4 linked regions of the Anolis sagrei genome follow. The protein of the gene in region 4 interacts with the protein of the main gene of each other region in a pairwise test. Links are inferred from orthologs where the notes say so. Each region holds a gene or a part of one and is shown on either strand. Other genes may lie near its edges.

Region 1 (7,816 bases), on a different chromosome or scaffold from region 4:
ACACTCACATCAGTTGGCCGGCCATACAAAGCAGATAACCGACTCATTTCACAACCACACACTCAGCAGCGTGTCCCTCTCTGCAATAAAACAGTTGCATGAGGAGATGTCAGCACCATTGTTGGGCATAGCACCAGCAAGTTGGCACTGGGAGCATAACCATGTTCATCCCCTTGGGGGAAAAACGCATTACCACCCTTCCTTCTACTCTGACAGATGGTGGATTTAGCAACGGGAAAATCCAAACAATCAGCAGGTTGAAAGCCCAGAACGGTACCAAGTGGCAAGCACAAGGACCACAGGGACAAGCTTCAGGGGCGTTGCCATTTCCGAGTAAACAACCTCCAGGCGCCTTAGCTAGCCACCTGCACCATTTTAGCCCTGATCTTTATACTGCACAGATGGAAGTCAGTATGGAATATTTCACTGGATTATGGATAAGAGCAGGGGGGGTTTAAAAAATTACAGGTGGTGTGTAAGCAGGGGACCTTTGGGCATTTTGGGAATGTTAACCTCAGGAGGCGCAAGCAGACTAGCTGCTAGAAGGATGGAGTCTTAAGGTTTGGAAAGGCAAGATAACATATGGGCCGTGTGATGGATGGACAGTCAGAAAGGAAAGTGGCTTGTAGATTCCCTCCCAGCTCCCAAGGGCTCTTTTCTTCCCAGTGGCCAAACCAACAGCCCAGCTAGCCACACCCAGCTGACCAAGCCTGCAGAGCTAAGGAGGGAGGCAGTAATGGCACAAAAATGGAAGCAGATACTCCAAGCATCCTTCCCTGCTACCGGTTTTCAGAGAGTGATAGGTGGAGCATGTTTATACAAATGGATTTTCAAGTCGAAAAGACAATTTCTTAAAGGTGGAGGGGGAATGTTGAGCTGAGGGGTTTCATAAGGAAACAAGCAGCTTGTATCAAGATCACAGAACTGAATGGACGCCTTGGGAGAGGATCGATGTGGAGCGTAAGAGCAATCCATAGGGAGCAGGCCTCCCAATTTTCCCCAACACACACACACAGAAAGGAAGAGTGGGAAGAGAGGGATGGAGGTGGACAGAAAGAGAGAGGTGGAGAGAGAGGCCCCTTCCACACAGCTGTATAAAATTCACATTGAGCTGGATTATATGGCAGTGTGGACTCATAACCCAGTTCAAAGCAGATATTGTGGATTATCTGCCTTGATATTCTGAGTTATTATGGATGTGTGGAAGGGCCCAGAGAGGGAGAAAGAGGGTAAGAGAGAAAGGTAGAAAAGGGAAGAGAGAGAAGGAGAGAGAGAAAGGTGGGAAAGAGAGAAAAGGAGAGAGGGGGAAAGGGGGAGAGGGGGAGAGAAAAAGAGAAAGGGGAGAGGGAGAAAAGGGAAGAGAAAGATGGAGAGAGAAAAAGAGGGAAAGAGAAAAGGAGAAAGGGAGAATGCGGGGAGAGAGAAAGAGAAAAGGAGAAAGGGAGAAAAAGGAAGGAAGAGATGGGGAGAAAAAGGTGGGAAAGAGAGAAAGGAGAAAGGGAGAAGAGGGGGGTTGAAAGAGAGAAAGGGAGAGAGGGAGAAAAGGGAAAAGAGAGATTGAGAGAGAAAAAGAGGGAGAGAAAAGGAGAGAGGGAGAAAGGGGGATAGAGAAAGAGAAAGGGAGGAAGAAAAGGGGGAAAAGACAGGAATGGAGAGAGGGAGAAAGAGAGGAAGATGGAGGGAGAGAAAGAGAAAAGAAATATGGAAAGAGAAAAGGGGGAAGGAAGGGGGAGATGGAGAGAGTGAAAGAGAGAAAGGAAGAGAGGGAGGAAAGAAGGAGAGGGAGAGAAAGGGAGAAAAGGAGAAAAGGGGAAAGAGGAAGGAAGGTAAATGGGAAACTGAGAGAGAAAAGGGGGGAGAGGTGAGAGAGAAAGAGGAAAATAGAGAAAGGGAGAAAAAGGGAGAGAGCAAAGGTGGGAAAGAGAGAAAGGGAGAGGGAGAAAAGGGAAGAGGCAGAGAGAGAGGGGGGTGGAGAGAGAAAAAGAAGGAGAAAGAAGTGGGTACACAGGCCCCTTCCACACAGCTGTATAAAATCCACATTGAACTGGATGATATGACAGTGTGGGCTCAGATAGTTCAAAGCAGATACTGTGGATTATCGGCCTTGATATTCTGGGTTAATATGGCTATGCAGAAGGGCCACACAGAGAAAGGTGGGGAGAGAGATGGATTGGGAAAAGGGGGAGAGAGAAAAGGATGGGGGAGAAAGGTGGGGAGAAGTGGAGAGAAAGAGAGGGGGGAAAAAGGAGGGAGGGATGGAGAGAAAGGGTTATATATGCAGAAAGCGACAGAGACAGAGGGCCCTTCCACACAGCCCTATATCCCAGAATATCATGGCAGAAAATCCCACAATATCTGATAATGTGGGATTTCCTGATTTGATATTCTGGGATATAAGGCTGTGTGGAAGGGCACCCAGTTCAAAGCAGATATGGTGGGATTTGCTGCCTTGATATTGTGGGATAATACAGGGCTGTGTGGAAGGGCCCAGAGACCCCCACCGGCCCACCTCTTCCTCGCCCTTCACTCACCCCAATGATGACGGTGTCATCGCCTTGGAAAACCGGGATGAATTTATCCCCCCGGATGATCTCCGACTGATTCAAGGGCCTGAAGCGACAGAGCACTTTGATGCTGCATTCATTGACTTCCGTCGTCATGCTGGCGGGTGGAGGCTCTCCTTTGCGAGGGTGGAAGAAAGAGGGGCGGCGAGGGCTTGGAGTGGGGTGCGATTCCCGGGGAAAGGCGCAGGAGGGCAGAGAGAGGAGGGCGAGCGATGGGCGAGCCTGGTTCCCTGCCTGTCACCCCCCAGCAGCAGCAGAGCGGCGAGGCTCTCTCTGGGCTGGGCTGGCGCTCCTCCTGCTGCAGGCTCTGCTCCCGGGATGCTGCTCTGCCTGAGTCCTCCTCCTCCTGGTGCTCTTGCTGCAACTGATGCTTGCGGCGCTTGGATCTCTCTCCTCCCTCCTTCCCCTCCTGCTGCAGACACCGGCAGCAGCAGCAGCAGGCAAAGGGCTGGGCTGGAGGAGAGGTCCAATGGTACCGCTTTTAAGGAGGAGCCATCTCCTCGGCCTTAAGGTGGTATGTCATTGAACATTGAGAAAACCAAAATGCTGTTCCAGCAGTCACCAGCCAACCCCTTTCCAATGCCAGAGATACAGCTTAATGGTGTAACATTAGAAAATGTTGACCATTTCCGCTACCTTGGCAGTCACCTCTCCACCAAAGTCAACATGGACACCGAAATACAACACCGCCTGAGCTCTGCGAGTGCAGCATTTTTCCAAATGAAGCAGAGAGTGTTTGAGGACCGGGACATACGTAGGGATATTATTAAACTTTATTTGTACCCCGCTAGCATCTCCCAAAGGATTCGATGCGGCTTACACAGGCCAAGGCCTCAACAACACAACATAACAGTACAATCAAGCAAATCAAACAATTAAAAACAAAATAAAGCAAAGTAAACAGTAGGCACAATACATTAAAACACAATAAAACTGGGCCGGGCCAAAAAGTGGGTACAAGAATTAAAAGTGCTGGTTTGACAGGAGGTGTATAAAGGGTTTCTAGGGCAAGTGCGATGTGCGGTGTGCAGCAATCATTGGTTCTGGTAAAGTGCTTGTGGGACTCAGTAGTGAAGATTTCCTAATCTGGGAAGGCGCATCGGAAAAGCCAGATTTTTAGGTTCTTTCTGAAGACAGCCAATGACGGGGCCTGTATAAGGTCTTTGGGGAGGGTGTTCCAGAGTTGGGGGGCCACCACGGAAAAGGCCCTGTCCCGTGTCCCCACCAAGCGCGCTTGCGACGCCAGTGGGATCACGAGCAGGGCCTCTCCAGATGACCGAAGAGAACGCGTGGGTTCGTAGATGGAAATGCGGTCACGCAGGTAGGCCGGTCCCAAACCGTTTAGGGCTTTGAAGGTAAGCAAGGTGCTTGTTTATAAAGCTATTGTCCTCCCAACCCTGTTATATGCCTGCGAAACGTGGACTGTCTACAGACGTCACATGCAACTCCTGGAACAATTCCATCAGCGCTGCCTCCGGAAAATCCTGCAAATCCCTTGGAAAGACAGGCGGACAAACGTCAGCATGTTGGAAGAAACAAAGACCACCAGCATTGAAGCAATGCTCCTCCGCCATCAACTCCACTGGACCGGCCACATTGTCCAGACACCCGACCACCGTCTCCCAAAGCAGTTGCTCCACTCCGAACTCAAGAACGGAAAATGGAATGTTGGTGGACAGGAAAAGAGATTTCAAGATAGGCTCAAGGCCAACCTTAAAAACTCTGGCATGGATACAGAGAACTGGGAAGCCCTGGCCCTTGAGTGCTCCAGCTGGAGGTCAGCTGTGACCAGTAGTGCTGCAGAATTTGAAGAGGCACGAATGGAGGGTGAAAGAGAGAAACGTGCCAAGAGGAAGGCGTGTCAAGCCAACCCCAACTGAGACCGCCTTCCACCTGGAAACCAATGCCCTCACTGAGGAAGGAGACGTAGATCAAGAATAGGGCTCCACAGCCACATAACGGACCCACAAGAATACTGATCCTGGAAGACTATCCTACTCGGCCAACGAGGGACCGCCTAAGTAAGTAAGAAAGTAAGTAAGGGAAGGCTGAGCAGAGAACTACCCCCATCCTCCCCCCCCCCATTAAAAACAACTCTAGCAGCCCCCTCACACCCTCCCCCTTGTTTGGCAATTTAACTATGTTACACCACCTTGGCTTCAGGATCAGGATGCTGCTGCATAACTTGGGCACAAGGAATCGGCATGCCATGATGTCCTTTATTAATTGGCCAAGGGCAAGCCATACGCTTTCAGCCCTGGAAAATCCAGTGATAGGTTTCCCTAACTTGGTTGTTGTTGTTTATTCGTTCAGTCGCTTCCAACTCTTCATCATTGTTGCACTCCAGGTCAGGGAAATGCCCTCTGACTTTAAAACACACCACACAATGAGTGAAGAAACAAATCTTTATATATATATATATATATATATATATATATATATATATATATACACACACACACACACACACACACACACACACACTAGCTTTCCCCTGCCATGCGTTGCTGTGGCCCACATGGGGGTTCTGTGTGGGAGGTTTGACCCAATTCTATCATTGGTGGTGTTCAGAATGCTCTTTGATTGTAGTGACCTATAAATCCCAGCAACTACAACTCCCAAATGTCAAGATTCTATTTTCCCCAAACTCCACCAGTGTTCATATTTGGGCATATTGAGTATTCGTGCCAAGTTTCGTCCAGATCCATCACTGTTTGAGTCCACAGTGATCTCTGGATGTAGGTGAATTACAACTCCAAAACCAAAGGACACTGCCCACCAAACCCTCCCAGTATTTTCTGTTGATCATGGGAGAATTGTGTGCCAAGTTTGGTTCAATTGCATCGTTGGTGGGGTTCAAAATGCTCTTTGATTTTAGGTGAACTATAAATCCCAGCAACTACAACTCCCAAAAGACAAAATCATATTTTTTGCATGAAGGACATACATTGGGTTGTTAAGTGTCTTGTGTCCAAATTTGGTGTCAATTTGTCCAGTAGGTTTTGAGTTCTGTTAATGCCACAAACGAACATTACATTTTTATTTATATAGATATATAAATTTTTATTGAAAGAATATAGTTACAAGGAAAGTGGGGGAATATTGTGTAGAAATCAGTTGGCCCCTTCCACACAGCCATATATTCCAGTTCAAAGCAGAACCTGTGGGATTTTATTTAGCTGTGTGGAAGGGGCCTAAGGTGTTGGCCTTTTCACTCCTGGTGCTATTGGCACTCACCTCTACCCATATTCGCTCCCATTTACAGACTGCCACAAACAAAACAATTGGATCATTAAAAAAAAAGAGAGAGTCAAAGTGGACATGGGTTTGCATAACATGCAAATTTGAAAATTATCACTATATATATAGTCAAAGTATGATTGGTTTGCACATTTGGCCCACAAAGGCTCCTATGTGGCTTAATAGATCTACATCAAACTTGGCACATATACCCTTTATTATTCAACTTAAAATAATTGAGGGATTCAAACTAAAAACACATCTCTTTCGGGCTCAGTACAGAAAGAAAGAAAAGGAACAAAGTATTGGCTGTTGCTAGGTGTTGTGGCCTCTGTGATGTCACTGAGGGCCCATCTACACTGCCATATAACGCAGAATATCAAGGCAGATAATCCACAATATTTGCTTTGAACTGGATTATCTGAGTCCACACTGCCATATAATCCAGTTCAACATGGATTTTATACAGCTGTGTGGAAGGGGCCTGTGGAAGGAAGGGAGTGAAACAGCTTGGATTCTATTAGGAAACATATGTATTGGGAAAGTGAGGAAGGGAGGAAGGAAAGAAAGGAAGGAAGAAAGAAAGAAAGAAAGAGGAAGGAAGGAAGAGAAAGGAAGGAAGGAAGGAAGGAAGGAAGGGAAGGAAGAAGGGGGAGGTTTTTTGAGGGAAAGCAAAAGATGAAGGAAGAAATGAGAGAAAGGAAAGTGAGAGGAAGAAGGTGTATGAAGGAAACAGGGAAAAGAAGGCAAGATAGAATATGTCCACCATTGCCAGAGCATTGCCATGAAGACATTGTGAAGTAAGTCTTCTCAGAGCTGGAGAAGGGAGAAAGCAGATGGGCAGCAAACCCTTTGACATCCAGGCAACACCCGGTATATATGCAAGCTTCAATAGAAATCTTAGCTATCTCAACACAGTGGAGAAATCTCCAATCTGGTGACCTCTGTGTTGTCCAAACGTTAACTGTGGGTAGGCAACTTTAAACTGCTAGTCCTTCCAGCTGTTCTTTCCAATGGTTCTTCATATTTAAACTGGATGTGTACAAACAGAGGATACCTTCAGAGAGGATCATCCTTTAGAAAGCTGGCCACACACCCACCTTGGTATATACATTACAATAATCCAAGATACTCCACTCTTTGTTCGGCCTCTCAGTCCTCTGAGTAATGCTCTAGTCTGGAAGATGGGCATACAGTAAACCTTTTAATCATCATTACTGCTTACTCTTCCAGGAAATAAGCAGCCATTTAGACAGATGTAGCAAAACCGAACAATCAGATTGAGCTGACATGTGAAGGAAAAACAATACCAGAAATGCAGTTATTTTTAGGGAGGATGGTAGTAGCACTAGCATCAGGCCCTAAGCGAGCCAAGAGCATAGCTGCTGCAATGATTTGCCAACTAGTTTCATTTCTTCCAGATGAGTTGAGTTGAATGAAGCTTAAAAAATTATGTCTGGGACCGGATCTACACTGCCATAATAATACATTTTCAGAATGCTAATTAATGGCATTTAACTGAATCCTATGAGTCTACACTGCCATATATGGAGCCCTCAGTGGTGTAGCAGGTTAAACCACTGAGCTGCGGAACTTGTTGACCGAAAGGTCACAGGTTTGAATCTGGGGAGCGCCGTGAGCACCCGCTGTCAGCTCCAGCTTCTGTCAAGCTAGCAGTTCGAAAACATGCAAATGTGAGTAGATCAATAGGTACCACTTCTGTGGTAAGGTAACGGCACTCCATACAGTCATGTCAGTCACATGACCTTGGAGGCGTCTACAGACAATTCCGGCTCTTCGGCTTAGAAATGGAGATGAGCACCAACCCCTAGAGTTGGACACAACTGGACTTAATGACAGGGGAAAACCTTTACCTTTATTTATTTATTCACGTTATTTATTTATTTACGTTACTTTTATCCCGCCCATATCAGCCCGAAGGCGACTTAGGGCAGCATACAAATTGGCACAATTAGATGCCACATATAAATACATACATTGGTTAAAAACAA
Region 2 (7,338 bases), on a different chromosome or scaffold from region 4:
CCATAACTGTCTTTCTAGGCTCCATACCGTTGGTCAGAATCCCAATGGGATCTGCAGTGACTTTCTAGCTTCCATAGCTTTGGTAAGAATCCCAAAGCTAACTTAGACCATCTCCTGAGGTTCTGGAGAGGTTGAGGAGACTACCAAGAACCAAGCTGAGTTCCATCTAGTTGGTGATCCTTCCATGACTGTCTTTCTAGGCTCCATACCTTTGGTCAGAATCCCAATGGGATCTGCAATGACTTTCTAGTTTCCATAGCTGTGATAAGAATCCCAAAGCTATCTTAGACCATCTTCTGAGGTTCTGGAGATGTTGGGGAGACCATCAAGAAGTCATCTGACTTCCATCATCTGACTTCCATGACTGTTTTTCTAGGCTCCATACCTTTGGTCAGAATCCCAAAGCTATCTTAGACCATCTCCTGAGGTTCTGGAGATGTTGGGGAGACCATCAAGAACCTCTCTGAGTTGCATCTAGTTGATAATCCTTCCTTCCATGACTATCTTTCTAGGTTCCATATCTTTGGTCAGAATCCCAATGGGATTTGCCATCACCTCCCCAAAGGTGAGGAACTTGAGATACCTATCACATCGAGGTTCCTCGGGTCCAGGAGGATGGACAATGAACCCAACTCTCTTCCATACCTTGGTCCCAACGTGTACCCTCCTCTGAGGTCCAGGAGATGTTAAGAAGAGGAACCTGCCTTTCTTCCATACCTTGGTCCCAACCTGTACTCTCCCCTGTGGTCCTGGAGATGTTGGAGACGACCATCCTGATTTGCATCAGGTGGACGCTTGCCTCCACAAGATCACAATCCCCAAGGAATCAGCCCCCAACACCCCAAAAGGTTAAGGCACCAAGATCCTTCATCTCTTGAGGCTCCTCAGCCAAGAATTCTGGACTTGTTTGACCACAACCGGCAATGGGTACCCGTGAGGTCCATGCCCACTTCTCTTCCATAACTTGGTCCCAACCTCTACCCTCTCCTGAGGTCCTGGGGATGTTGGGAAGACCATCCTGATTTGCATCTGTTGGATGCTCACCTCTGCAAGATCATGATCCCCAAGGAATCCACCACAAACCCCAAAAAAGGTTAAGGCACCGAGCTTATTCATCCCTTGAGGTTCTTCAGCTAAGATTTCTGGACTTGCTTGACCACAACTAGCAATGGGTGCCCGTGAGGTCCATGCCCACCTCTCTTCCATAACTTGGTCCCAGCCTTACCCTCCCCTGAGGTCCTGGAGATGTTGGGAAGACCATCATGGTTTCCATCTGTTGGAATCCACCACAAGGTCCCTAAGCTGAGAATTCTGGACTTGCTTGACCACAACCAGCAATGGGTGCCCGTGAGGTCCATACCCACTTCCCTTCCATAACGTGGTCCCAACTTCTACCCTCCCCTGAGGTTCTGGAGATTTTGGGAAGACCAACAAGAACCTCCCTGTTGGACGCTCACCTCTGCAAGATCACAATCCCCACGGAATCCACCACAAACCCCACAAAAGGTTAAGGCACCAAGCTCATTCATTCCTTGAGGTCCCTAAGCCGAGAAATCTGGACTTGCTTGGCCACAACCAGCAATGGGTGCCCGTGAGGTCCATACCCACTTCTCTTCCATAACTTGGTCCCAACCTCTACCCTTCCCTGAGATCCTGGAGATTTTGGGAAGACCACCAAGAACCTCCCCTGTTGGATGCTCACCTCTGCAAGATCACAATCCCCAAGGAATCCACCACAAGCCCCACAAAAGGTTAAGGCACCTCGCTCATTCATCACTTGAGGTCCCTCAGCCGAGAATTCTGGACTCGTTTGACCACAAATGATCCACCACAAACCCCACAAAAGGTTAAGGCACCGAGCTCATTCATCCTTTGAGGTCCCTCAGCTGAGAATTCTGGACTTGCTTGACCACAACCCGCAATGGGTGCCTGTGAGGTCCATACCCACTTCTCTTCCATAACTTGGTTCCAACCTCTACCCTCCCTTGAGGTCCTGGAGATTTTGGGAAGACCACCAAGAACCTCCCTGTTGGTTAAGGCTACCGAGCTCATTCATCCCTTGAGATCCCTAAGCCGAGAATTCTGGACTTGCTTGACCACCAAGAACCTCCCTGTTGGACGCTCACCTCTGCAAGATCACAATCCCCAAGGAATCCACCAAAATCCACCACAAACCCCACAAAAGGTTAAGTCACCCTTGAGGTCCCTCAGCTGAGAATTCTGGACTCAGTTGGCCACAAACGATGGGTGCCTGTGAGGTCCACACCCGTGAGGCCCCTCCCACGCAGCCCCTCCCACGCCCGACACTCACTCCGGTACTCCGATCCAAGGTGCCCCCGGACGCGGCGGTGAGCTTGGTGGTGTTGAGCCCCACCAAGGAGGGCAAGGTCTGGGACATCCAGTTGGTGATCATGGCCATGGTGCTGAGGACCACGCCGATCTTCAGCAAGGGCACCGACATGGTGGCGCTGGGGGGCCACCGTTGCCGCTGCCGCCGCCTCCCTTTCCGACCCCCTTCCTCCGCCGCCTCCGCCGCTCAGGCACTCCGGCCGCTACCTCCTCCTGATCCTCCTCCGTCTTCATTCTGAGCCGGGTTCCCTGAGCGCGGCAGCCGGGATGCCCTGCGCCTCGGCCCCGGCATCCTGGGCGGAGGCGGCACCGGAGAGGAGGCCATCCCGCCCCATCCCGGCAAGGCGGAAAGCAGAGAGGGAGCTCCCGGTACTGAAAGGGAGAGCTCCAAGGCTGCGCGCAGGAGAGATCCTGGTGCTGAATGGACAGCTCCAAGGCTGCGCGGAGTGGTGCTGAAATGGACAGCTCCTGCCAATCCTTTGCTGAGTGGAGAGCAGCTCTCCACAACAAGTCAATCAGAGGAGGGTTCTGCAATGCTTTGGCTGGCTCTCCCCCTCCCCAGCCTTCTTCTTCCTCCTTCTTCCTCTTCTCCCTTTCCCCCACCAGCTGCTTCTCTCTTGCCTTCCTTGCAAAGGCTTGGCCGGGCGAGGACTGAGCCAAAGGGGGCGGGAGGGGAGGGAGGGGCCCCCAGAAAGCGCATTCTGACGTCAGAGTGGGCGGGGCCACTCTGGGATACAGAAAAGGAGGGGCCCCCCAACACTCCTCCTCTCCCTTCTTTCCAGCCTCCACTCTTGGCGTTTGGCTTCCCTCTGGTGGAGGGAAAGGGAGGAAGGTGGAAGGGAAAGAAAAAGGAGGAGAGAAGGGGAGGGAAGAAGAGGGAGGGCAGGATGGATCTCCTGAAGTTCCCATAAGGAAGGATTTGTGTGTGTGTGTGTGGAAGAGAATGTGTGCAAGAAAGAGAAAGGCAAAGAGTGGGGAAGGAATGGAAGAGAAGAAGAGAAGGGAAGGTGGAAGAGGGAAAAAGGAGGGAGAGAAGGAGAGGGAAGAAGAGGGAGGGCAGGATTGATCTCCTGAAGTTCCCATAAGGAAGGATTTGTGTGTGTGTGTGTGTGTGTGTGTGTGTGTGTGTGTGCAAACCTCCAGAGAGAGAAGGGCAAAGAGTGGGGAGGGAATGGAAGAGAAGAACTGAAGGGAAGGGACAGAGGAAGGAAGGAGAAAGAAAGGAGCAAGGGAAGGGAAAAGAAGAAAGGGGAGGAAGGAAGGAAGGAAGGAAGGAAGGAAGGAAGGAAGGAAGGACGGAAGGAAGGGAAGGGGAAAGGGAAGGAAAGAAAGGGGGAAGAGAAAAGAAAGAGGAGGAAGGAAAGAAGGAGGGAAGGAACAGAAAGAAGGAAGGAAGGAGAAAATGAAAGGAATGAAAGGGACAGGAAGAAAGGAGGAGAAGGAAAGGAGCAAGGGAAGGGAAAAGAAGAAAGGGGAGGAAGGAAAGAAGAAAGGAAGGAAGGAGAAAATGAAAGGAATGAAAGGGACAAGAAGAAAGGAGGAGAAGGAAAGGAGTAAGGGAAGGGAAGAGATAAGAAGAAAAGGGAAGGAAGGAAGGGAAGGAAAGAAAGAGAGGAGGGAAAACAAGAAAGGGGAAGAAAAGGATGGAAGGAAGAAAGGAAGGAGAAAGTGAAGGGAATGAAAGGACAGAGGAAGGAAGGAGGAGAAGGAAAGGAGCAAGGGAAGGGAAAAGAAGAAAGGAAGGAAGGAAGGAAGGAAGGAAGGAAGGGGAAAGGGAAGGAGAGAAAGGGGGAGGGAAAAGAAGAAAGGGGAAGGAAGGAAGGAAGAAGAAGAAAAGAAGGAGAAAGTGAAGGGAATGAAAGGGACAGAGGAAGGAAGGAGGAGAAGGAAAGGAGCAAGGGAAGGGAAAAGAAGAAAGGAAGGAAGGAAGGAAGGAAGGAAGGAAGGAAGGAAGGGGAAAGGGAAGGAGAGAAAGGGGGAGGGAAAAGAAGAAAGGGGAAGGAAGGAAGGAAGAAGAAGAAAAGAAGGAGAAAGTGAAGGGAATGAAAGGACAGAGGAAGGAAGGAGGAGAAGGAAAGGAGTGGGTGTGATTCCTTATGTAAAGCTTCAGGGAAAAGAAAGAAGGAGGGAGGGAGGGAAGGAAAAGAAAGGGGAGGAAAAAGAAGAAAGGAGAAGGAAGGAAGAAAGGAAGGAGGCAGGGGAGAAGGAGAGGAAAAAGGGAAGGGGAGGAGGAGAAGAAAAGAAAGAGAGGAGGGAAAATAAGAAAGGGGAGGAAGGAAGGAAGAAAGGAAGGAAGGAGAGAAAGAGGGGAGAAAAGGGAAGAGGAGGAGGAGAAAGGAAGGAAGGAAGGAAGGAAGAAAGAAAGAAAGAAAGAAAGAAAGGAGAAAGTGAAGGGAATGAAAGGACAGAGGAAGGAAGGAAGAGAAGGAAAAGACAAAGGGAAGGGAAAAGAGGGATTCCTTTTGTACAGCTCCAGGGAAGGGAAGGAAAAAGAAGGAAGGAAGTTACGAGGGAAGGGCGGGAAGGAAAAGAAAGAAGGGAGGGAAAAGAAGAAAGGAGAAGAAAGGAAGGAAGGAAGGAAGGAAGGAAGGAAGGAAGGAAGGAAGGAAGGAGAAAGAGAAGGAGAAAAGAAAGGAAGAGGAAGGAGAAACCGGAGGGAAACAAGAAAGGGAAGGAGAAAGGGAAGGAAAAGAAAGAGGGGATAGAAAAGAAGAAAGGAAGGAAGGAGGGAGGGAGGGAGGGAAAGAGAGGAAAAAAGAAAGGAGGGGTGGCAAACTGCATTCATTTGGCAATACAGATGCAGATGAAGGAAAGAAGGAAGGAAGGAAGGAAGGGAAGAAAAAAAGGGGAAGGAAAGGATAGAAAATGGAAAGATCCTTTTTGTAAAGCTCCAGAGAGGGATGAATGGAAGGAAAGGATGGAAGGTGGGAACTAAAGAGGGAAAGAGGGAAAAGAAGGATCCATTCTGCAATGCTCCAAAGAGAGAAAGAAGACAGAGAGGAAGGAAAGAGAAGAAGAGAGCAAAGGAAGGAGAGGACAAAGTGAAGGGAAGAATGGAGGAAGCAAAAGAAAGAGAAGGATGGAGGGAGGGAAGATGGGGACATTCCTTTTGCAAAGAGAAAGAAGAGAGAAAGAAGAAACTGGACCAATATGGTGAACTCTTGGTGTCTTGTCCAAACTACAACTCCCATGATTCCACAGCACTGAGCCATGGTATCGAACTGCAAAGACTCTGGCACAAGCCAGTCAAGGTGGTCCCAGTGGTGATTGGCACACAGGGTACAGTGCCTAAAGACCCTGGCCTGCACTTAAAAACAATTAGTGCTGACAAAATCACCACCTGTCAGCTACAAAAGGCCACCCGACTTGGATTTTTCACCGATACATCACACTGTCCTTGTGATGTGGAAAATGTCCGATGTGTGATCGAATGCAAAAGCCAATAATAATAATAATAATAATAATAATAATAATAATAATAATAATATCAATAATAATAATTTAATCAGAAAACAGGGCTAAAATAAATACATAAATAAATAATGCAAACCCTTGCTCTGCTTTCCCAAAGCCAAATTTGCAAAAATGCAAACCACAACAAGCAACACCGTGTTGTGTATCGAATAATAATAATAATAATATAATAATAATAATAATAGCAGCAAACAGAGCTGAAAAATGCAATATAAATAAATACATACATAAATAATGCAAACCCTTGCTCTGTTTTCCCCAAAACCAACTTTGCAAAAATGCAAACCACAACAAGCAATTAATAATAATAATAATAATAATAATAATAATAATAATAGGACTCCAAGCAGCAAACAGGGCTGAAAGAATGCAATATAAATAAATACATAAATAAATAAATAAGGGAAACCCTTGCTCTGTTTTCCCAAAATTAACTTTGCAAAAAATGCAAACAACAACAAGCAACACCACGTTGTGTATCTAATAATAATAATAATAATAATAATAATAGGAATTTAAGCAAACAGGGCTGAAAGAATGCAATATAAATAAATACATAAATAAATAATGCAAACCCTTGCTCTGTTTTCCCAAAACCAACTTTGCAAAAATGCAAACAACAAGCAACACCACGTTGTGTATTGAATAATAATAATAATAATAATAATAATAATAATAGGACTTTAAACAGCAAACAGGGCTGAAAGAATGCAATATAAATAAATACATAAATAAATAATGCAAACTCTTGCTCTGTTTTCCCAAAGCCAAAGCAAACCACAACAAGCAACATCCATGTTGTGTATCGAATAATAATAATAGTAATAATAATAATAATAATAATAATAATAATAATAATAGGACTTTAAGGAGCAAACAGGGCTGAAAGAAGGCAATATAAATAAATGCATAAATAAATAATGCAAACCCTTGCTCTGTTTTCCCAAAGCTAAATTTGCAAAAAAAGCAAACCGCAACAAGCAATGCTGTGTTGTGTATCGAATAATAATAATAATAATAATAATAATAATAATAGTAATAATAATAATAGTAATAATAATAATAATAGGACTTTAAGCAGCAAACGGGGCAGAAAGAATGCAATATAAATAAATACATAAATAAATAATGCAAACCCTTGCTCTGTTTTCCCAAAATTAACTTTGCAAAAATGCAAATCACAACAAGCAACACTGTGTTGTATAAATAATAATAATAATAATAATAATAATAATAATAATAATAATAGGACTTTAAGCAGCAAACGGGGCAGAAAGAATGCAATATAAATAAATAAATACATAAATAATGCAAACCCTTGCTCTGTTTTCCCAAAACCAACTTTGCAAAAAAAGCAAACCGCAACAAGCAATGCTGTGTTGTGTATCGAATAATAATAATAATAATAATAATAATAATAGTAATAATAATAATAGTAATAATAATAATAATAGGACTTTAAGCAGCAAACGGGGCAGAAAGAATGCAATATAAATAAATACATAAATAAATAAT
Region 3 (7,631 bases), on a different chromosome or scaffold from region 4:
CAACTTATTCAATGCTACTAATATTACTAGTCCATCCAGTGAGGAAATGTTACACAACTTTCATTTTTGTGTCTCTTACAGAAATGCATGAAAACTTTGAAAAATCTTTCCAACTCTTCCAAAAGCCATGTTATAGTAAGAGGGAGAAATAATGATGTTTTCCTAAAATTGAAAATGGGTTGAAACAGGTACAGGAAATGCCAAAACAGAAGATCCAGAATCTATGTTATGTAATCTTTTTGTTGTGTAATTGTTGCTAGTATTTGGATTATTGTGGGCAGGTTGTAAATGATCAGTAGCTGAGTTGGGGGTGGGAGGGCTGCGAGGCATTACAGAAGAGGTCGAAGAGAGCAATAGCAATTTCATTTGCCAGGTTGCAGCCCCTGCCGCTGATTGGCCACTGAAAAAGAAAGGAGAAGCCTAATGGAAACACATGGCACCGAAAGACACCTTGGCAAAAGTTTGTGCATGGCTAATAAAAGAGACTGCCACTTTCACCCTTTACAAATCAAACATACTTCTTTGAAACTGGCTCCATTTGCTCACCTTTTTCTACACAAATATCCAATTCTAGCAAGAAGCCCCTGCCTGCCTTAGTAGCCCAATGGAGTAAACAAAGACAGATAATACTCAACAAGAAATAATATGCACCAAGACTGTAAAAAATAATAATACTCCTAGCAGAAAGTACTAGGTGCCATTTGGCTTCTGCTTCTAGCAAAAAAATATTTTGGTACTTCCTGTGTATCACATCAGCATTTCAAAATATGTATGGCTTGTTCCATCTACATTTCAGAAATAATGTCAACCTAGGACTTTCTTTGTTCAGAAGATAGCAACAAAGTATGTCCCAAAGAAAAAGAAAACCAAGAAGGCAAGATGGTTGCCTGCTGAGACACTGGAAGTAGCCCAAGAAAAAAAGGAAAACAAAAGGAATAGTGATAGAGGGAGATATGCCTAATTAAATACACAATTTCAGAAGTTTGCCAGAAGAGATAAGGAACTATTTTTAAACAAGAAATGTATGGAAGTGGAAGAAGACAATAGTATAGGAAGGACAAGAAATCTCTTCCAGAAAATTAGAAATATCGGAGGTAAATTTCGGGTAAAAATGGGTATGATCAAAAACAAAGATGGCAAGGCCTAACAGAAGCTGAAGAGATCAAGAGAAGGTGGCAAGATTGTACAGAAGATCTGTACAGGAGGGATAATAATATCGAGGATAGCTTTGACGGTGTGGTGAGTGAATTAGAACCGGACATCCTGAGGAGTGAGATTAAATGGGCCGTAAGAAGCATTACTAATAACAAGGCAGCAGGAAACAAATTCAGCCGATCTATCTGTTAATAAGGATAATGTAATTAATAATGATGGAAAAGATGGCTCTCCTTTTCTTGAACTACCATATTTTTATTCCAGCAAGTTGGAATTCTGCAACTCAGACTATACCCCCAAAGCTTGCTTTTGCCCTTCTGTTCTGAGCCCTTTGGCTCTGTAAACTTTATTTATTTATTTATTATTTTATTTTATTATTTGAACTTATGTGCCGCCACTCCCCTGGGGCTTGGAGCGGCTTACAAAAATGGCTAAAATCTAACAAATTTAAAAGCAATTTAAAACAATTTAAAAACAGCAATATCAAGCATTAAAAGCCTGTCAAAACAGGTATGTCTTACATGCCCTGCGGAAAGCTGGTAAGTCCCGCAAGGCACGGACTTCAGGTGGCAGAGTATTCCAGAGTGATGGTGCCACTGCTGTGAAGGCTCTGCATCTGGTTGCTGTTAGACGCAAGGTCTTGACACTGGGGACTTCCAATAGATCTTGGTCCTCAGAACGGAGGGATCTCTGGGGTTGGTAGGGGGTGAGGCGGTCCCTCAGGTACATCGGCCCCAGACCATGCAAGGCCTTACAGGTGAGTACCATCACTTTGAAAGTGATCCGGTGCTCAATTGGTAACCAATGCAGCTGTAGTAAGATTGGTGTTATGTGGCATCTCATCAGAATTCCCGCAAGAAGCCAAGCAGCTGCATTTTGTACCAACTTGAGCTTCCGGATCACCGACAGAGGAAGGCCAATGTAGAGGGCGTTACAGTAGTCCAGTCTTGAGATGACTGTGGCCTGGATCACCATAGCTAGGTCATCCCTGGACAGGTACTAAAGACTAGCTCAAAAGTATCTAAAATAAATAAATAAATAAATAAATAAATGCTGACATTACTTTAAAGAACTGGTAATACAGAAAATAACTAAATAAACATATTGAAAATTTGGCATCTTAGTTATTCAGAGTTAGGTAACCCAAATGTTTAGAGATATACTCCCAGAAATAGGTAACCCAAGTGGTCTATCCAGGAGTTTTATGGAACTTAAAATGTTGGATTGTTTAGCCTGTCTTACATTAAATAACAGTTAGAATACTAGACCTCTGCACAAGAAACTTTAAGAATTATTACCAAAGAAGACAAGGATAATTGCTGATCGAGGTATCTAGATACTTTCTTCCAAATGACCTAGGGATAATCTCTTCCCACATCTTTCACCACCATATATTTAAATAATGTTACTCTACCTGATACACAGCTCTGGAGATGCACCATGGTTTAAGCATTAGCCGTACGACCTGCAGATTTCTGAACCGGCAAGTCCCCAGGACCCGCGTAGTCAGGTTCCACACTAGGCTATCCCAACTGTAAATCAAGTCTTCAACCCTTAAAAGTACAGCGGCCATGCCAAGCAGCAAGTCGAAAGGTCTAGCACTGGTATTCCTGTGTGGTTTGCTGATTTTTAAAAAGTCTTTAAAAAACGTCAAGGTTAAAATGTCAAAGTAATTTTCCATGAAATAAAAAATGGAGAAAGCTGAAGCCAAAGCAACCCATTTTGGTGGGAGTTGCTCTTCAGAGGGAATTATTTTCCCAGGTTCTCCACTGCCAGATCCAACAGGGACATTCAGAAATATACTCTGCAAAGAGATTTGGAAATTGCCCCTTCTTTCTGAATAAGTTGGGGTGTCCTGGGCAGGTTCCTTCTCTTTGTTCAGCCCCAAGCAAAGGCACTAAGAAACAAACTTAAACTAAGAATCATCACTTTAGCCTCCAAAGTACCGGGATTTCTTCCAGAGAGGATGGAAAACAAACGCCTTTTCTGTCTCTCTCTTTCTCTCTCTCTGCTTCTCTGCCAACATTCTCAAGACATTCCATTTTCCCGCTTAACTCTTGAAGGTGCAAAGTGCAACCACAGGAGACTAGTTTTGTAGCACATTGTAGAATATGTGCATCATGCTATTATTATTACATGTATCATGATAGTTATTGTAGTTTTGTGGTGGAACTGTCATCTAAGTTAGGCTTTGCCATTTCTCCTAGTCTTGCCATTATTAAGAGCACATTAGACTTACTGAGAAAGAAAATAGGAATAGCTTTCACTTGGTAAGATTTCATAGCAGGTGAACTAGTGTGTTCCTAAAAAAGTGACTATTTCCACAAACAAATGTAAAAAAGGTTCTACATAGTTCTATCAAAAAGGCCAGTTGATTGGGAGAAAACCCAAGGGTGCAGGTTCTTGATGATGTATCCATAATAGAAACAAAGTGCTACAGCATATCTATATAAATAATAATGTAATGTTCGCTTGTGGGATTAACATAATTCAAAAACCACTTGACGAATTGACACCAAATTTGGACACAATCCACCTATCAGGCCAATGAATGATGATAACTCACAATAACACTGAAAAACACAGAGGAAGGGACTTAAAAAGCCAAAAAAGCAAAAAGATGCTACAGTGCATGTGCAAAAATAACTCCCGGGCCAAAAAAACCCCAACAAAAAACCAAACACACACAATAGCATATCCACACATTCTTTCGCACTACAGCTCCCAGTATCCCCTAGACCAGGCCGTTCAGGAGAGGAGGATGGTCCAAATGTACTGCTTCCTAGATGCAAGCTTTCTTCTCCTTGGATTTCTTTGAGAGCATCCCAATCCCTGTATATTTCCAATTTCCTATTCCTGGACTGCAGCTCCCAGCAATCATCCCGATAGATAGATTAGATAGAGATAGGTAGGTAGGAGGACTGCTGGGAGTTGCAGTCCAAGATAGGTAGAGAAGGGAAGAAGGAGAGAAGGAAAGGAAAAAAGGGAAAGAAGGAAGGAAAGAAAGGAGAGAAAGAGATAGGGAAGGGTGGCCACAGCAACGCGTGGCGGGTACAGCTAGTTTCTTAATAGATAATGGGAAGTTGTACTGGGTGGGTTGTCTCTGCCATGATTAACTTTTGTTATATGATAGAAAATTGTTTGCTTTGACATTACTGTTTTTTTATTGCTAACAATGTAGAGAGGTACTTGTGGAAGTCATGTGCAAACATAATTTGCCTGGTTTGAAGTATTAAGCACTTCCACTTAGGATGAATAGCAGACCCCTTTTGCTGTTCTGATTTGAGCAACAAACTGTCTTGGGTAAGCAGATGGACAGAATAACCCTTACCATGTACTTCTACCCACAAACAAGCCCTATTGAATTTAATTGGACTTATTAAAATGCAAATACACTAAGATATCCCAATCATGGTTTGAAGGCTTTCTTGGGATGTGTGAAAAGGAGCTGGAAGGACAGAGAATATAAAAAGGACCCACTTATTACTATGTAACAGTTTACAGAATAATATTGTTCAAGGACCATCTGAAAACTGAAAGGAATCCGAAGGGTAAGGGGAAATAGTGTCACGTCAGACCTCACTACCTCTGAGGATGCTTGCCATAGATGCAGGCGAAACATCAGGAGAAATGCCTCTAGAACATGGCCCTATAGCCCAAAAAAAAAAAAAAACCCACAAGAACCTAGTGATTCCAGCCATGAAAGCCTTCGACAATACGGTGTCACGTCACTTATTCAGTTGTGTCACAAAGCCTTATTCTAGTTCAGTACAAACAGTTTAGTCAAACTATTATTCTCAGGTAAGTGGCTGCTTTTTAGGAGCAGGTTGAGGCCCATCTTTTGTTGGGTTTTTCTAAATGATTAATCCTTTTTAATGAGGAGTTCAAGAAAGCCAACTTCTCAAGCTCTCCAGGGAAAGCTACAGGTGGTTATAGGACCTGTGTCTTCTTCTAACAAGTATATGTGTGTTCTTGGATCTTCTTCTTTTCATATTTTTTATTGGATGGCTCTTCTACTGTGTTTTTGAAATTTCTCCTTTTTCATGTGAAACTTGGGGGAGAGCAACACATGGACATGAACATGTGGACAGGAAGAATGGTGTTACAGAAAGAAATCCTGAGCTTTTGTACTATAGCTCCCCAGACAATTAAACACAATTATTAGATTTGTGTATCTCTCTATTTTCCCAACTTCTGAGCAATAGTTTTCTAGTTAGAGAGCAGCATGGCTCCCACTCACATTACTTTCAAGTAGCTCTTTATGGCTAGAGATTTGGGAAAGATACTTGAAATGTTCAGTTTTGCTGATATAGATATGCTAGACTCGTCTTGTTTTTTATTCCTATAGCTCTAAACCACAGGTTCCTTTTGAAAGATCTAAACTTTCATTCAAATCTTTCTGCCTTTGATCTTCTTTAAAATAGCTATGGTAGTGTGTGATTGAATTTCACTGAAAAATTGTGTATGAATATTCATTCCACATGAGCAGATAATGGCATTTTCATGCTTTATCCTTGCTGCCAGGAAAACAAACCCCCCAGAAATCTCCTAGAAGTCATATCTGATATTCATTTCTGTCAGAAGGATATGAGAAATTCCTTGATGGATCATATCTACCTGGTCCAGTGGGTTTCACTTTTGGTTATCCAGATGTTGAATGCTACTCCCTGAATCCCTTACTAAACCTTTGGGAGGTGAAGTCCAACATTTGAGATTTCAAGGTTGGGAGCCGCTGTTTGCATCTATCCCCTATATAGTCAAAAGATTTTCAGAATGTTAAGCAGACAGGTCATGCTGTGATGCTAACAGGCATCCTCTGACATTTAGCTCTTCTGTTTGGCACTAAAGAGATATACTGCCATTGAACATTGAATATCCCTTGAGATAATGCCATGTGAGAACTTCAGATGGTCCAACTATCATCTGCCTAACCCAAGGTTTAATGGAGCTCTTTGTCTAATTTTGAAAGGCCCTGGAAACAATCAGTTCAGAATTCTGGAATTTTCTGCTGCTGACAGATCAAAGAGTAGAGAGGAAGAGGGAGAAGTGGGTAGTGGCAGAAATAGAGGGGGCAAGGACAGAAGCTATGTCATTTCCCCTTTAAATTCACATTATGGAAGCATCCTTCAGTAACTATCAGCTACCACTCCCATAGTCTACAACTAGTAGCCTGAAAAGTAACTTTTTTTGCTTTAAACACATTTACTTCTAAAGAATCCAGACCTTAATATTTTTTCTGTCCACATTCTTGTCCAGAAAAGGCCACATTTTCTGACAGATATGCACTTGTGCTGTCTTTTATCCCATGGGAGCCAACATGTGTAAGCAGCAGCTTCCTTGCTTGCCCACCGTCTCAGATCCAGCAGAAGGGATACTTTCAGAGTACAGAATAAAATAAATTTCACTGCAGTCATTAGAGGGCACTCTATATAGATATGTATTGGATTGCACTGCACGAAGGGATAAGAGATAAGAGGCTGTCACCATCTGCAACCATATTAAAGTGGGCCATGGTGCAGTAGAATAGACATATATTGGATTATAATACAGAGAGCTTCCAAAAAACAACAACTGGGAGCCATTGAAAAGCAAGCACTTTCCCATTTCCTCTCTTCTCTGCTGTTTTCTCCCCTTCCCATTGTGACCCATTGCTGTTGAGATCCTAGTGCCACTCTCCATTTAAGAAAACCGATACAAGAAATGTGCAACCGAGAGACAGAAACAGGAATTCACGAGAAATGATGTCAATACATGAAACAGGGTAACTTCTCCTTCTCTCCAAACTGATGACGTATTCACAACTAAAACAAGTATATGGTCTATTTAGGTTCATCCTATGATTTGTGATTTATTATAGTTTGTGTTTTCATTCTGGAAATATTGAAAGCCACTGGGCTGGAGACAAAGTAACATACCTGGGATTAGAATTGTTATTAACAAGAGATACTACCAGTCTAAGCATTCTCTGTACATAAAAGTACTTTATGACCCTGGGAAAGTATGAGTAGTCACTGACCCTTCTAATTAATCTCTCCATAACAAGATAAGAAAGAACCATTCTTAGAAATATTCCTCCCTACAGACTGTCAACAAGTTGTTATCCAGTGTGACTCTGGGAAACTGCGTATTGTTCGAAATATCAGTGGAAGTGGTGCGTGACTAGGAATGAAATCTTGACATCATGATGGATAGAGGCTGGCAGCTGTGAAACAGATGAATTCCATGTTAGATTATAATTAGGAATGGTCATGGTAGTAAAATTGTCAATGTTATGATATTTTATGCAAATATATTGTGTGATTACAGATGTGAAGTTTGGGAAGAAATAATTTACATGGTGGTCTTGGATGTCAAGAGGGAGGAATACAATCAGTTGTCATAGCTACCATTAAACATCTCCTGAGACCCTTGGCTGCTCTCTGAATGTCCATGCAGCGGCCTTGGGTTTCAGGGAAGGTGGAACAACAACAATATCC
Region 4 (7,465 bases):
AAAGGGACCCCTAGAGAAGGACAATGATATGTCACATGTAGGCAAACCAGATAACCATCACATTAACACTGACAAAGAAACAGCAAGAAATAGTGTTTACCCACAAGTATAAAGAAATTACATATATTAGAAACCAACACTTTCGAATTACTTTATTTTCCAGATCACCAGACTGGGCCACAGCAACGTATGGCAGGGTGCTACCAGTATGCAGACAATACCCAGCTACTCTTGCGTCTCGAACCTGGGACAACCGCGATTCCTGAGAACTTTAGGCTGTGTTTGGAAGCAGTGATGAGTTGGCTGCGAGCGAGCAGACTAAAAGTGAATCCTGCAAAAACTGAGATACTCTGGCCCGGCCAGCCGCCAGAATTAATCCAGTCTCTGCCTGGTTTCGATGGGGAAGCTCTGGTTCCGTCTGCCACTGTTTAAAGCCTTGGGGTTGTGTTGGACTCATCGCTGACGATGGAGGCCCAGATCACTGCCATAAGTAAGCAGGCCTTTTTTCATCTTCGCCAGGCAAGGAAATTGGCATCCTACCTTTTGGTAGAAGCATTGGCAACGGTAATCCACGCAACAGTCACCACGAGGTTGGACTATTGCAACGCCTTATATGCCAGCCTTCCAAAGTCAACAACCCGGAAGATTTGGATGGTCCAAAATGCAGCGGCCAGGCTGCTAGCGGGATCATCTATAAGTTCCCATATTACACCGATTCTGCAACAACTGCATTGGCTACCAATAGAACATCGGATCTCTTACAAGATACCGATCCTGACATTTAGAGCTCAAAATGGCCAAGGACCTTTATATCTTAGGGACCGCCTCAATCCTTTTCTCCATCAGTGGTCACCTCGATCCACCCAGAAAAATCTCCTATACACAGAGGCGGCCCTAGGTAATTTTCAACCGTAAGCAAACAGTACTTTGCCCCCCCCCCCAACCCATCACTGATATATATTGTCTGTTCGTCATGAGAGTTCTGTGTGCCATATTTGGTTCAATTCCATCATTGGTGGAGTTCAGAATGCTCTTTGATTGTAGGTGAACTATACCTCCCAGTAACTACAACTCGCATATGTCATGGTCTATTTTCCCCCAAGAGCGCCTCAAGAGCGCCCCTGGGCAAAATCAACTATACTGCAAATGCTTACTTTGCGTAATGGGTTGAGCCACCCCTGCCTATACATACCGGGCCCTAGGGAGGTACACCTGGAAGCTACAAGGCATTGAGCTTTTTCAACCTATACTCCAATTCTGTGGAACTCATTGTCTCCATACATTAGAGCAATGTCAGAGTTGCGACCTTTTGTAAAGGCACTCAAGACTTGGCTGTTTGGTTGTGCCAACGCCAGAGATACAACTTAATGGTGTAGCATTAGAAAATGTTGACCATTTCCGCTACCTTGGCAGCCACCTCTCCACCAAAGTCAACATCGACACCGAAATACAACACCGCCTGAGCTCTGCGAGTGCAGCATTTTCCCAAATGAAGCAGAGTGTTTGAGGACTGGGACATCCGTAGGGATACCAAGGTGCTTGTCTATAAAGCTATTGTCCTCTCAGCCCAGCTCTATGCCTGCGAAACGTGGACTGTCTACAGACGTCACATGCAACTCCTGGAACGATTCCTTCAGCGCTGCCTCCGGAAAATCCTGCAAATATCTTGGGAAGACAAGCGGACAAACGTCAGCATGCTGGAAGAAGCAAAGACCACCAGCATTGAAGCGATGGTCCTCTGCCATCAACTCCGCTGGACCGGCCACGTTGTCCGGATGCCTGACCACCGTCTCCCAAAGCAGTTGCTCTACTCTGAACTTAAGAACAGAAAACGGAATGTTGGTGGTCAGGAAAAGAGATTTAAAGATGGCCTCAAAGCCAACCTTAAAATCTCTGGCATAGACACTGAGAACTGGGAAGCCCTGGCCCTTGACCGCTCCAGCTGGAGGTCAGCTGTGACCAGCAGTGCTGCAGAATTCGAGGAAGCACAAGTGGAGGGTGAAAGAGAGAAATGTGCCAGGAGGAAGGCACGTCAAGCCAACCATGACCGGGACCACCTTCCACCTGGAAACCAATGCCTTCACTGTGGGAGAAAATGCAGGTCAAGAATAGGGCTCCACAGCCACCTACAAACCCATAAAAATAGTCATCAAGGAAGACCATCTTACTCGTCCAATGAGGGATCGCCTAAGTAAGTAAGTAAGTGTGCATTTCAGTAATCAGATCTAATTTGCCAAATAGTCACTGTTGAATGTTGTTATGTTGAATGTTTTTATATTGTGTAACTGCTATTTTAGATTGTAAGTTGCTCGGAGCACCTTGGTGGAGAGCGACTAATTAAGAAATAAAGTGAAGTGAAGTATCAAATAATAATAGAACCCGACAGCAAATAAACAACCATTGCTAAAATACATAGTTAGACAATCTGTAATTAAAACGGGTCAATAATTAAAAGGGGTCACAGAAACCTGTCTTGGACAAAAAGGGGTCATGAGTGGAGAAGGTTTATGAGGCCCTGGCCCAATCATGAACAGTGATTGTGAACAACAAACTCTTATCTATTTCTACACTAGTGACGACCCAAGAGCGTTTTCATAACCATCTCCACTGCTCCACTGCATGGAGACTGTGGGCACTCCTCTTCCTGGCTTGCAGTCCCAACGCCTGCATTCTGTGAGGGCCAAGGCCTCCCTCTGGTCGCCTAGCAACGGGGCACGCGCGCAGCCCCCCTCCCCTCGCGCCCCTTCCCTCCCTCCCTCCCTCCCTCCCTCCCTCCTCGGGCCTGACCTCCCCGATCACGTCGTGCAGGTAGCGGAAGGGGGGCTTGCTGAGGAGGCGCTCCGTGAGGGGCGGCTTCCGTATCACTCGACCCAGCAGCTCCTGCGTCCGCCGCACCATGGAGCCCTGCATGGCGGCGCCCCGACTGCCCGGACCGGACCAGGCCCCTCGCAAACTCCCGGCGCGCCCCGCGCCCGCCCGCCTGCCTTCCTTCCTCCGCCGCCGTTGCTACCCAACTCCGCCAGCCTAGCAACCGGGCGGCGCGCGGTCCGCCCCGCCTCCTCGCCCTCCCGATTGGACGCAGGGGGAGGGAAATGGTGACGTCATGGACGGCTCCGCCCTCTCGCATTCTCTAGGCCTCTGTCAACAGGGCCATCGCTTTTGGAGAGTCTCCCTTGACCGGCGCCCACGGGGACTGCCAGGTGCAGCAGGGTACACGGAGTTTTATTTTTCTGGTTATTTAATGTTTCTTTTGCTTAAGTGATATTTGTCTTTACTGTTTTAATGTAGAACAAATCCTATGTAAAATCATACCACGTATTTTTGACATTAATATTGAAATCTGAAATATAGACTTCTAGTTGCTGGAGGGTTGCCATTACAAACAGGCCTTCGATTGTGGTTTCGAAGGCTTTCATGGCTGCCTTGCTGTGAGTTTTCCCAGAAGCATTCTCTCCTGACGTTTCACCTACATCTATGGCAGGCATCCTCAGAGGTTGTGGGTCTGTTGGAAACTAGGAAAGCGAAGTTTATTTATCTGTGCAATAATGTCCAGGGTGGGAGAAAGAACACTTGTCTGTTGCAGGCAAGTGTGAATGAGTTGTAGATTTTTTCGGGCTATATGGCCATGTTCTTCTAGAGGCATTCTCTCCTGACTTTTCGCCTGCATCTAGGGCAAGCAGCTTCAGAGGTAGTGAGGTCTGTGGGAACTAGGAAAAGGGTGGGGCAAAGGACTCTTGTCTGTTGGAACTAGGTGTGAATGTTCCAACTGATCACCTTGATTAGCATTTGATGGCCTGGCAGTGCCTGGGGCAATCTTTTGTTGAGAGGTGATTAGATGTTCCAGATTGTTGAGAGGTGATTAGATGTCCCAGTTGCACCCATACCTTGGGAAGTCTGATCTGGCCATGGTGGTCTACGCTCTTGTTACATCCCGCATAGATTACTGCAACGCACTCTACGTGGGGTTGCCTTTGAAGACTGTTCGGAAACTTCAATTAGTCCAGCGGGCGGCAGCCAGATTACTCACCAGAGTGTCATACAGGGAGCATACCGCCCCTCTGTTATGTCAGCTCCACTGGCTGCCAATCCAGTTCCGAGCACAATTCAAAGTGCTGGTCTAGACCTACAAAACCCTATATGGTTCCGGCCCAGCGTATCTGTCTGAACATATCTCCCTCTACGTCCCGCCTCGGAGTTTAAGATCTTCTGGGGAGGCCCTGCTCTCGGCCCCACCTCTATCACAAGTGAGGTTGGTGGGGACGAGGAGCAGGACCTTCTCGGTGGTGGCCCCTCACCTGTGGAATTCACTCCCCAGGGAAATTAGGTCATCAACATCCCTCCTCTCTTTTAGAAGGAAATTAAAAACATGGATATGGGACCAGGCTTTTGGGTAATCTGGCAGATAAACAAAGGACAATCGACGACTAGAATTGATAGGATTTGACAATGTGGAATGAATCTACGGACTCTGAGCTGGCGAACGTTGAGCATTAGATTGGTTTTATTGATTTTGATGTTATAATTGTTTGATTGTTTTGTTTTAAATTGCTGTTTATATATGTTTTATCTTATTGTTTGTGTTGGCATCGAATTGTGCCTTTTGTAAGCCGCCCTGAGTCCCCCCTCGGGGGTTGAGAAGGGCGGGGTAGGAATGCACGAAATAAATCAATAAATAGTTTCCCTTGTGTTGTTTTGCTGTTGTAATTCTAGAGTTTTTTTTAATACTGGTAGCCAGATTTTGTTCATTTTCATGGTTTTCCTCCTTTCTGTTGAAATTGTCCACATGCTTGTGGATTTCAGTGGCTTCTCTGAGTAGTCTAACTCTAACAACCACCATATCAGACTACTCGGAGAAGTCATGAAAGCCTTCGACAATGCAATATTGAAATCTGAAATATATACAGGAAGTCTTTACTTCTGGTTGCTTGAGGGTTGCCATTGCAAATAGGCCTTCAATTATGGTGTCGAAGGCTTTCATGTTTGGAATCACTGCCTTGCTGTGAGTTTTCCCGTCTGTATGGCCATGTTCCAGAAGCATTCTCTCCCAACGTTTCGTCTACATCTATGGCAGGCATCCTCAGAGGTTGTGGGGTCTGTTGGAAACTAGGAAAGTGATGTTTATTTATCTGTGAAATAATGTCCAGGGTGGGAGAAAGAACACTTGCCTGTTGGAGGCAAGTGTGAATGTTGCAAAGGGTCATTAAATGCTAATCAAGGTGGCTAATTGCAACATTCACACCTGCCTCAAAAAGACAAGAGTTCTTTCTCCCACCCTGGACACTAAACCACAGATATATAAACCCCCTTCCCTAGTTTCGAATAGATTCCTCAATAATAATAATAATCATCATCATCATAATAAAAACTTTATATATACCCCGCTCCATCCTCCCCAGGGGGACTCAGTTCGGCTTACACGAGGCCACGCCCATCAGTACAGTACACACAATATAACACAAAAACATAACAAAACCAAAAAATAAAATACATAAAATGCAAAACCAATATAATAAGCGACACAACAATATAAAATCAAACATTAAAACACAACAGATTTCACTGGGCAGGGCCAAATTCAAGGATAACATTTTAAAACACTGGGACATAGGACAATGTAAAACATCGGGAGGAGGATCCGGAAATGATGAAGGATTTAATTGCACTAACTTTTTTAATGCTATCATGATAAAACTTGCTCTAATTGTATCACAGTTTCCACTGTTAGCCTGCCAAGTTTAAGAACATTACACTCATTCACTAATTTTGGGGGAAATTTTGAACTTTTTACAAACAATTTTTCTTTTATAAAAACTACAAGAGCTATCTCCTGGAATTTCATATACAATGCACAAGATAACCAAGGCATTGATCCTCAGAAATTTCAGAAAGATTAACACATCTACAGATTTTGGGGGATTTTTAAAAGTTTAGACAAAAACAAATGATCCCCCCAAGAAGTGACAGCAGCAATCCCTTTGAATGTCTGCCTTTATGACACACAACCTGAGAACTTCAACTTAGCACAGCTTTATACTATTACTTACTTTAGTCCTCTTTTCAGATTCAATAATTTTATTCTCTCTCCTCTTCAACATCTACGTTAGACCCCTTGCTAGTTTGGCTCGGAGTTTCGGCCTGGACTGCTACCAATATGCAGACGATATCCAACTCCTTCTGCGCCTGGAGCCTGGAGCAACGTCAATTCCAGACAATTTCACCCTATGTCTGGAAGCTCTGTCGAACTGGCTGCGTGCTAGCAGACTGAAGGTGAACCCAGCAAAGACTGAGATTCTCTGGCATGGCCGCCCGGCAGGTCTGACTCCTCCGTTGCCCACCTTCGATGGTGCCGCCCTATCTCCTTCGCCTACCGTTAAGAGCTTGGGTGTCGTTTTGGATTCGCAGCTGACAATGGAAGCACAGGTTGCTGCTGCCAGCAAACAGGCCTTTTTCCATCTACGACAAGCGAGGCAATTGGCACCCTACCTATCTGACGAGGCTCTGGCATCCATGCCGGTCACGTCTAGGCTGGACTATTCAACGCCCTGTATGTTGGCCTTCCGATGTCTACGACCCGAAAGCTTCGTATCGTTCAGAACACGGCAGCCAGGTTACTCACAAGAAAGCCCATGAAATGCCATATAACACCAGTGCTGCAACACTTACATTGGCTTCCAACTGAGTACCGTGGCCTGTATAAGATGTTAGTTCTGACCTTTAAAATCTTTTATGGCCAGGTTCCATCGTACCTTAGGGACCACCTCTCCTTCTCCCATCATTGGAGGTCGCAACGACCAGCCCAACGTGACTTACTCTATATACCGGGTCCTAGAGAAGTGCATTTGGAAAGGACCAGGCGCAGGGCTTTTTCTATTTCTGCCCCGGACTTATGGAATTCCTTGCCGCCCTACATGAGAGCCATGCGTGACTTAGGGCCTTTTACTCTCGCACTTAAGACCTGGCTTTTTACTAGAGCATTCGATCTCTGTTAATTTTAATTTTTGTATGTATGTATTTTATCTTTTACAATTTAACTGTAAATCACTTGGAGCATTCTCGGATGGAGGGCGATTAATAAGTAATTAAATGATGATGATGATTTATTTATTTATTTATCAATTTTATATACCGCCACCCCCTGAAGGATCGGAGTGGTTTACAATATACATATACAATACATTACATTTAAAATCAAAGAAACATTTCAATGGCTAGTGCCATTGGGTCCTTCAGATGCTAAGCACTGTAGTTCGGGAAATGTAGTTTGCGCTGTACCGCAAGCACCTGGGTTCGAGTGTGTCCTCCTGAGGGTGGGGAACCGTGACAGTGTGGGGTTTCTGCTGGTGTACCGCCCACCCCGCGACCCAGTAGTTTCCCTGTCTGAGCTAGCGGAAGTGGTCTCTAATTCAGCCCTGGTTTCCCAGCGCTTGGTGGTGCTGGGAGATTTTAACATTCATGCTGAGACCTC

What was found.
Region 1: the proteins of TRAF3IP1 (region 4) and KIF5A interact in a two-hybrid assay, tested with the Homo sapiens proteins (2 studies listed by IntAct). The link is inferred for Anolis sagrei from reciprocal best matches to the Homo sapiens genes TRAF3IP1 and KIF5A.
Region 2: the proteins of TRAF3IP1 (region 4) and OLFM1 interact in a two-hybrid assay, tested with the Homo sapiens proteins (2 studies listed by BioGRID and IntAct). The link is inferred for Anolis sagrei from reciprocal best matches to the Homo sapiens genes TRAF3IP1 and OLFM1.
Region 3: the proteins of TRAF3IP1 (region 4) and FRMD4A interact in a two-hybrid assay, tested with the Homo sapiens proteins (2 studies listed by BioGRID and IntAct). The link is inferred for Anolis sagrei from reciprocal best matches to the Homo sapiens genes TRAF3IP1 and FRMD4A.

The regions. Positions count from the first base shown.
Region 1 is NC_090022.1:186,121,793-186,129,608, reverse strand, and holds the start of KIF5A (kinesin heavy chain), read right to left. Parts: upstream 3,008-7,816; 5' UTR 2,661-3,007; coding exon 2,532-2,660; intron 1-2,531. UniProt on the Homo sapiens protein: Microtubule-dependent motor required for slow axonal transport of neurofilament proteins (NFH, NFM and NFL). Can induce formation of neurite-like membrane protrusions in non-neuronal cells in a ZFYVE27-dependent manner.
Region 2 is NC_090031.1:4,765,176-4,772,513, forward strand, and holds the start of OLFM1 (noelin), read right to left. Parts: upstream 3,016-7,338; 5' UTR 2,462-3,015; coding exon 2,312-2,461; intron 1-2,311. UniProt on the Homo sapiens protein: Contributes to the regulation of axonal growth in the embryonic and adult central nervous system by inhibiting interactions between RTN4R and LINGO1. Inhibits RTN4R-mediated axon growth cone collapse.
Region 3 is NC_090025.1:93,271,267-93,278,897, forward strand, and holds the start of FRMD4A (FERM domain-containing protein 4A), read right to left. Parts: upstream 3,002-7,631; 5' UTR 2,837-3,001; coding exon 2,570-2,836; intron 1-2,569. UniProt on the Homo sapiens protein: Scaffolding protein that regulates epithelial cell polarity by connecting ARF6 activation with the PAR3 complex. Plays a redundant role with FRMD4B in epithelial polarization. May regulate MAPT secretion by activating ARF6-signaling.
Region 4 is NC_090021.1:161,923,097-161,930,561, reverse strand, and holds the start of TRAF3IP1 (TRAF3-interacting protein 1), read right to left. Parts: upstream 3,014-7,465; 5' UTR 2,911-3,013; coding exon 2,788-2,910; intron 1,596-2,787; exon of another isoform or gene 1,520-1,595; coding exon of another isoform or gene 1,406-1,519; intron 1-1,405.